Arabidopsis thaliana: one gene and its partner. The protein of the gene in region 1 purifies or fractionates together with the protein of each later gene. This does not show direct contact. Each region holds a gene or a part of one and is shown on either strand. Other genes may lie near its edges.

The links.
Region 2: the proteins of RPN12b (region 1) and PAE2 fractionate together in Arabidopsis thaliana (co-fractionation; one large-scale study listed by BioGRID). This does not show direct contact.

What each region holds. Positions count from the first base shown.
Region 1 is NC_003076.8:16,813,045-16,816,560, forward strand, and holds RPN12b (regulatory particle non-ATPase 12B), read right to left. Parts: upstream 1,706-3,516; coding exon 1,601-1,705; intron 1,470-1,600; coding exon 1,126-1,469; intron 1,044-1,125; coding exon 791-1,043; 3' UTR 521-790; downstream 1-520. Other genes in the region: ABIL4 (ABL interactor-like protein 4), read right to left, coding at 1-43; AT5G42050 (DCD (Development and Cell Death) domain protein), read left to right, coding at 2,586-3,297, 3,378-3,516. UniProt on the Arabidopsis thaliana protein: Acts as a regulatory subunit of the 26S proteasome which is involved in the ATP-dependent degradation of ubiquitinated proteins.
Region 2 is NC_003074.8:4,762,374-4,767,136, reverse strand, and holds PAE2 (20S proteasome alpha subunit E2), read right to left. Parts: upstream 3,114-4,763; 5' UTR 2,914-3,113; intron 2,811-2,913; 5' UTR 2,774-2,810; coding exon 2,760-2,773; intron 2,628-2,759; coding exon 2,546-2,627; intron 2,354-2,545; coding exon 2,273-2,353; intron 1,981-2,272; coding exon 1,867-1,980; intron 1,773-1,866; coding exon 1,671-1,772; intron 1,360-1,670; coding exon 1,301-1,359; intron 1,205-1,300; coding exon 1,102-1,204; intron 1,008-1,101; coding exon 942-1,007; intron 849-941; coding exon 756-848; 3' UTR 528-755; downstream 1-527. Other genes in the region: ATPMEPCRC (pectinesterase family protein), read left to right, coding at 1-232. UniProt on the Arabidopsis thaliana protein: The proteasome is a multicatalytic proteinase complex which is characterized by its ability to cleave peptides with Arg, Phe, Tyr, Leu, and Glu adjacent to the leaving group at neutral or slightly basic pH.

The sequences.
Region 1 (3,516 bases):
AAGATTGATGAAGAACTATCGCTAAAGATGTAGAGCTCGCCATTAATGAGATGAGGGAAAGAGAGAGAAGAAGATAATGGAGTAAGTAAGAAAGATCCAAGTGGAGACACTATACACACATACTCGACACATTCCATACGTTCTTTACAAGCCAATTATTTTCTTTTAAATGTTAGTAACTAATAATACCAAATTACATTTCATTAAAGACTGAAAAATAATATATTAAATTTATTACGAGGATTTAAAAATTGAAAAAAGCAGTCGACAAATCAAAACATAATGACCCGGAATATTGTATTTAGAGCACACTTTTCAATTATCAAAATGCTTTTTAAGAAATTAATTTATAAGTTATTAATGATTCCATCAATTATTAAATACACAAGTCAAGAAAAAATCGGAAGAAAGATTTGTAGTTGGAAAATTAATGGAGCAGAAAGTAGAGAAGAAGAATTATTTAACATTTTGTTAATTAAAGAGAAAACAACTTCTCAACAATTTTGATATTCTTGTCCCTCTTTCTTGAATAAAAAAAATAATACACATAATATATTTACAAGCAGTGGGACACAAGAATCAAAATTCAATCACGGACTCATTTAATGGAGTTGCCTTTATGAGCCAGAAATCATTCATGTGACCATAACATATAAGTTGCATTATAACCAGACGACAAAAGAAAGAAAGGACAGAGCTAAATTATCTGATGAATCAAATCAACTGTTTGGGAAAATACTAGTGATGACTGAGGCGTGTAAGTCAAACAATGGTAACACTTGAATGGGATTTACAAGATACGCTCGAGCTCTCTGGTGTAACTGAGAGTCTGGTTGATGAGTTGAAGTGACGGTATCTCCTTGCACGGTGCGGTTTCTCTGGTTTTTTGGAAGACAACTAACCCGTCTTTAACTTCCCACTCCGGGTGCTCCTCGTTCACATATGTTAACAGTTGTTGATCAGACGAGAAGAGTAACATCTTACAACCTTCACTGATTGAGAGATGATCGTATGCTTTCTCACTGCATCCAGCTATTTCATCTCTACAGATAAACAATGATGTTTTAAGTCACGGCAATGAGCTAAAGAAGAGAAAGGGTCAAATGACAAATGAAGCCTATTTACCTAATGGTTTTTGCCAAGAGATCCATGAAATAGACGTAAGTCTCATCAGGTGCGGTTTGTCTAGCACTCAACACACGGTTATAAGCACCTTCCATGAAGGATTGCTCGAGCTCCACCGCATGCTTGATGCAAGGATTCTCCAAGGTTGCAGATGAAAGTAATCCCAGTTCTGTGTGGAATTCAGCTATTCTGTTCTGAACAAGCAGTCTCAGTAGGTTCAACCCCATGATTAGATTCTCTTGCGGAGATGGCGGAATACGATTCCTGGTACATAGAAAAAACAGAGCACACGTAAGCAAAAGCAATGCATTCAGTGAGAGTGATATAAGATAATGATCAAACAACTCTAAATCAATTGGTTCAACTTAGGCTCTCTACTCATTAATAAATCAAATCTATATTAAACTTTGACATTGATATATTCAAGGTTTTATCTATTGATCCGCATTGAATTAGGGCTAAAAGGAAACAGTACCTTAAGCTGAGACAAGAGACTGGAACAGGTATCGAAATCTTTTATTATAAACGCAGCTTTAAACCTCTCGAACTGCTGTGAAACCTCCATTAGTTGCGGATCCATCTCTTTCTCTATGAATTTTTCTCTGTCAAACTGGCTTCAGGAAGAAGAAGAATTGAAGAATAAGATTGCCTTTTCTAATTGGGCCGTACATGGGCCTGTTGAATCAGTAATTGAATGGGCTTAAAGTGGGGAATGTAACCCAATAGAAGCTTCCGGGGAATTTTAATACGTGTTATACAGAGTCGAAAACTTGATGCTGACACACTCACTGTCTTTCTCGTCAACGCGTTTTTGGTGTTTGGTCCACAATCCTTAGCCTCTAAGACAAATCAACCCAAATTTTCAAAACATAAAATTAATTAGTTTTGAAAAAAACAATATTTTAAAATTAGATATTTGTTACTATCGGCACAAATAAATCTCCTCTCAAAAGTCTGCCACGTCATAATTGCAATTGTTCCGCGTCTCTGCTGCTACATGCTCATTCACTCGCAAATCGCAATTTTCTTCTTAACCAAATTTTTATACAAAAAAAAAAGCTCAGACAGAAGTACTAAATGGTAAATTTGACATAATTAATTGGTGTGTAATTTTATAAATACAGAAGTACTTGTGTCTTGTATTTATTAGTATTCCTTATTTAATAAATTACTTTTCACTTAATCATCCAACTTTGTCAGATTCACACGCAACCTTGAAAAAATAAAATAGAATGGTATTGTGACTTTCGTGGAAATTTCTACTTAGATGACACAGTTGCTCCAATTAAAAGCTTACAACTTTTTCTTCATCTTTCTTTATATTTCTCACCCATTTTTCACCAATTTCTCTCCACTTAAAACCAACCCCAATTCTCACCAAAAATCGCAAAAAAGATTTCAACTTTCGATAAACCCAGATCGAAAAATCAGATTTTTCCAGATCAATCAGAGAGTTAGAGATGGAGTATAATAACAACAATCAGCAATCTTTTTGGCAGTTCAGCGACCAGCTGAGAGTTCAGACACCGAATCTAGCGAATCTGTCTCTCAACGACTCGATCTGGAGCACAAACTCTGTCTTCAAAGAGCGTCGAAACTTAGACATAGCCGCCACCACCGACAAGAACAACAACCAGATCGACTATTATCAGAAGAAGACAACTTCCGACAACATCAATTCCAACTGGAACTGGAAGTCTTCTGGTTCAAACAACGACATGGGTTTAGGATTCGGACCTGTGGGTTCAAAATCCACCGTCGATTTAAACCCAATCGACAAATTCAACTCACCGTTCAACGACACGTGGAAATTCAACTCAGTCAACGTTAACGTTAACGGTTACTCACCGTCAAGCGCCGTTAACGGAGATTTCAACAAAGGGGTTTACACGTCGATGAAGAAGTATGGGTACAACGTCAATCTAAAGAACAACAACAAGAACAAAGGAATCGATGAAGATCATCAGATTCAGAAAGGTGGGAAGAAGAACAGAAAGAATCAGCAGAACAATAATAACCAGAGGAACGAAGACGACAAGAACAATGGTTTGGACAAGAGGTTTAAGACTCTTCCTCCAGCAGAAGCTTTGCCAAGAAACGAAACCATTGGTGGTTACATCTTTGTCTGCAACAACGATACCATGGAAGAGAATCTCAAACGCCAGCTTTTCGGTATTCATCACCACATCTTTCTTCTTACTGTTTCGATTGTTTCTTCTTGGTTTTGATTTGTGGGGATGGAAATTGTTTAGGATTGCCACCAAGATACAGGGACTCGGTTAGAGCGATAACTCCAGGACTTCCTCTGTTTCTTTACAACTACTCCACTCACCAACTTCATGGAATCTACGAGGCAGCTAGCTTCGGAGGAACAAACATTGAGTTGAATGC
Region 2 (4,763 bases), on another chromosome or scaffold:
TCCCGCTGGGTGGATTGCGTGGAATTCGACTTATGACCCGCCTCCACGTACTATATTCTATAGAGAGTACAAGAATTCAGGTCCTGGGTCGGATCTATCCAAGAGAGTTAAATGGGCTGGGTATAAGCCCATTTCGTCTGATGATGAGGCTGCAAGGTTTACGGTTAAGTATTTTCTCCGAGGGGATGATAATTGGATTCCAAAGGCGGTTATGGGAATGCCCCCTCTGTAAACTTAATCACTTATTATTTGTTTTCTTAAGTTTTCAATTATTATTATTTTTTCTATAGATTTAGCTAAAGATATGTTTAAAAAATACAATATATTCTTTTGTAACCTCAAAGAAATATATTTTATTTTTTTAAAGATTTAGCTAAAGATAGGTTTTCACGATCAGCGCTTCTCTTAATGGGGTTTGGGTTAAATTCAGTGAGGGTGGTTATATAGATAATAAATATATAATTATCTTATAATTGAGATTTTTTTTCCGACGTACAATGATGATATGTACATAATAGATTTCAACTTTCAAGTTCTGATTTTTTCTTTTGGACAGATATTTATTAGTTTTAACTTCTTGTTGAAAACGACAAAAAAATGTAGATAGAAAGCTCAATAAAACTCAACTCGATAAAATCCATTATCTGATTAAACGAAACTAATTTTTGGTTTAGAGAACCGGAAGCAGACAGAAGCCTGATAAATTACCGAACAGACAAGGTAAGATAACAGGAAGAGAATGGCGGTTTATTTCTTCATAGACGACTGATGACGGCTTCAACCTCCTGAGGAGTGTAGAGGTGATAAGCTGGTGCGACTTTGGCAATGTCGACATTGTTTGGAGTCACCTAAACCAGAAAAGTAGAGAGTATCAAAAAGGGCTAAACCGGAGAGGGATTTAATGGGATTTTTAATAAACAAACTTGTAATCAATTGAATACCTTTTCTTCCATTACTTGCTTTAGGATAGATACAGCTATTGTTTCAGCTTCTTGAAGAGTTATATCCTGTAAGAGTTGTGAAATTGGAGTTCAAGGAAACTTCAAAAGAAATAGATTCTGTAATGCGCTTGGGACAGTGAAACAATCACGTTATTAGTACCTTGTTGAATTGCTCTTGGAGAGAACTATCAGCTCCTTCTGAGCCAGACCCAATTGCCTTTGCATTGCATTGCCAGAATGTTCCCGATGGATCTGTGTAGTACCTATACAGGATTGAGTTGTTTAACATTTGTTGTTTACCAATTTGAGATCATCTACACAGTTGGAAAATGATATAAGCGAAATGAATAACAACTTACAGGCTCGGTCCATTTTCATCATGCCCAGCAATGAGAAGGGATACTCCAAATGGACGAGACTGCAAAAAGTTTGTGAGACCGAGCATAAGTACATTCATATAAAAAGGAGACAGTAAAGAACCAAAGAATATTTGCTAAAACATTATGGAAGATTAGGGATTGTTATAGTGGTGGTTCCTAAAGAGTTATATCTATTAATTCACAACAAAAATTTAAAACCCCAATCTAAGGGTTTATCTCTGATAATTGATCATAATTTCCAAGCAGAAAGAAGAGAAATCCACTAAACATTGCCTATGCTATAAAGGTAATAGAGCGATTACTACCATTGACTCTTCCTATGCTATAAAGGTAATAGAGCGATTACTACCATTGACTCTTCCTCTCCTTCACCAAACCGTAAAGCAAGATCACACAAAGCTTGTGTTGTAGATTCTACAGTCATTGGCTCACCATACGAGAACCTGTGGTTCTGCTCAACATAATAAAACCAGTTGGTAACAGAAAGAACTTTTGATGTAAAAACAAATCCATGAGAAACAGAAAGTCAGAAACTGAGATCTCACCTGGGTCTCTACTCGTGCATGCTCAACAAGTGTTCGCGCGTCAGCAATCAGACCACTCATAGCACAACCTATATGGTCATCAATTTCCATAATCTTCTCAACACTACTCGGCTCCTACTTAAAAGATAAAAAAGAGACTGAGAAAGTAGTTACCATCATAGGGTAAACTCAAAAAGGTATTACAAATTCATACTAATATTACCTTTCAGATTCTATCACTCATGCCAATTCAAGACTAAATTTGTAGCATAATGTGCGTGTACCAAAATCATAAAGGCACGGAAATAGTAAAGCAAAGAAAACTTCTTAGATACTAACAAATCAACCAGATGGAAACTGCTAAACATAACAAATGTTAATAAAACAGTGGAGTCACACGGAGAAGATACAAGGAGAGAAACTATACCAGTAAAGGCGAAGTAATACGCTTCTCGACTGCAAGAACAACTCCCTCTTTCGTCTTTACACCAATAGCAGTAGAACCAAGCTGCAATCAAACCATAACAAACCCATCAATGGATACAAAAAGGGCATGCCCAATCTATTGTCTACTCCCCAACAAAGCACACTAACACAATAATGGATTAAGTAACCAAATTCGTTTAAGCAAACAAAGAAACATCCCAACTTTACTAGATTCTAGAGAAGCTATTAGCAGCTAGAGTAATCTATAAATTACCTTGATAGCTTCAATGGCATACTCAACCTGAAAGAGACGACCTTCAGGAGAAAATGTATTGACTCCTCTGTCATACTCAGTCCTTAAGAACAAAAAAAAAAAAAAAAAAAAACTTGATCAATACAAGCACCATAATCGTTGGATTCGAAGTTTTCCCAGAAACGGTGATACACGATTCTGAAGAAATCGAAGGAAGAAATGCTCAATTTTGTACCTAGTGAGAAACATCTTCTTCTCGATTTCGATCTGAGATAAACCTCAATGTCTGCACAAAAGTTATTAAACCCTAAAAACATTACAGATCGAATGAAAAAAATAGGAAACGATTCAAGTAACTAAGAACTTGTATGGATGCAAAAAAACTTTACCAGCTGAGAATTGATCTACGAATCGAAGAAACAAACTCTTCCCAGTTCCTTTTTAGCTCCCGTAGACAAGCACTCTTGAGTAACAAGTTAGACTTTGATTAACACTTGGGCTGTTAATGGGCCTAAATATCTTATCAAACGGGCCTTAACTTAAGTCTAATATGAGAAGCATACGCCATTAAACGGACCTTCAATTAGGCTACTGTATACTTCTTGACCAAATCTTTTAGCCTAAACCCATTACTTTAACTCGTAGACGTATGTTTCTAGTATTTGTTAATTATAAAATAAGTGATGATGAAGATAATGTTAAATAATTTCTGTATCAAATTTTATAATCAAACTTGCTTATATTAAATTTGGAGATCGTACGATATTGATAAGTTAGGCCACCACTCCGCGATGATATAAGTGGACGACGATCTAGAAAATTAATAAAAACTTTGGTGACGTATTTAACCTCCCAACCTCCTGAAACAGAGACCACAAAATATTTGATTATAGTTTTTCATTCAATGTACTACAATTTATATACTATCGACTCGGGTGATCGATCTAAACATTCTCTATCGAAATTATAATTTAAATTTGGTTTAACCGACAGAAAAAAATGGATTTTGGAAGTCTTTTTAAAAATTGTTAAAAGCGATTTTGGAAGTTTTGCTCCAACATTTTGTGACCAACCCTTCTAATCTATGGTTCCACCATTTATATGTATTTTTGGTTAAAAATGTTCATAAACTATTATAAGGATTCCAAAGTTGCTGATGACTCAGAAACTTGTATAAATCTGTTGTATTATTCTTTTAACAAAACAAAATAAAGATTCGCAAGAGTTTAATTAATTTGGTGGAGGAATATTCGTTGTTATTATAGTATTGTTTTGCATTTCTTTAGTAATCAAACCAGCGAAATAAATATCATTGCTCGGAGCCTCTGACTCGAACGTACCTTATTGTGGTTAAGAAGAGACAGCTTTTTTCCCGAGAAACTGTACGACGATGTCTCCATGTTTAGCCTACAATTAGTCTCTTGTCTAAATCATAGCAATAATATAACACCAATTATTGTCATTTTGCAATTAAAAATGCTCCTAAAAGCTTATCATGACGCTTGATATATCGACACGTGCCACGGTTTAATTAAGTAGGAGTTAATTCGTCATTGGACGGCAGATAAGCACTGTAACAACTAATTTGCTCGATGTTTAGTTTTTCTTTTACTCTAATATTAATATTATCTCAACATAACGAAAAAATTGGTTGAATGCAAGTGCAACTAATAGCACGCAAGTTTTTGAAATTAATGTAATGACAGATTAATTGTTTCGATGGAAGGTCAAATGTCTTTTTTACCTTTTTAGGTCAGAAGGAAGGTAAAATGTCTTAAGTCTATAAACTATTTCAGTTGGGGAATTATTTGTTTTTGTCTCATATTATTTTGTCAAAGAATCGGGTTATAAAACTCATTTTGTTTCTCAAATATAAGTGTTACAGAATCTAAGTAGTTTTCTTAGTAATATTTTTTAAACATTAACGGAGTAAGAAATCCCAATAATAGTTTTATAAAAATTTATGTAATAAAAATACACCTGACTAGACATACACATGTATATGTGTAGATATATTCAACGATTTCACATTGACGTTCATCAAAAATCAAACGTAAGAAGAAAAACGAAACCATTAGAAGAACTAACCAAACCCCACGAAAAAGACAACCAAACTTGTTAATGAGATTGCCACTCTTATTGGCTATTATTTTATCTTCACCTTGCGTCTATATATAATTGACTTAAAAAAAAATCTTAATTAAACTCAGATTCAATCAATCATCGGAATTTATAATTT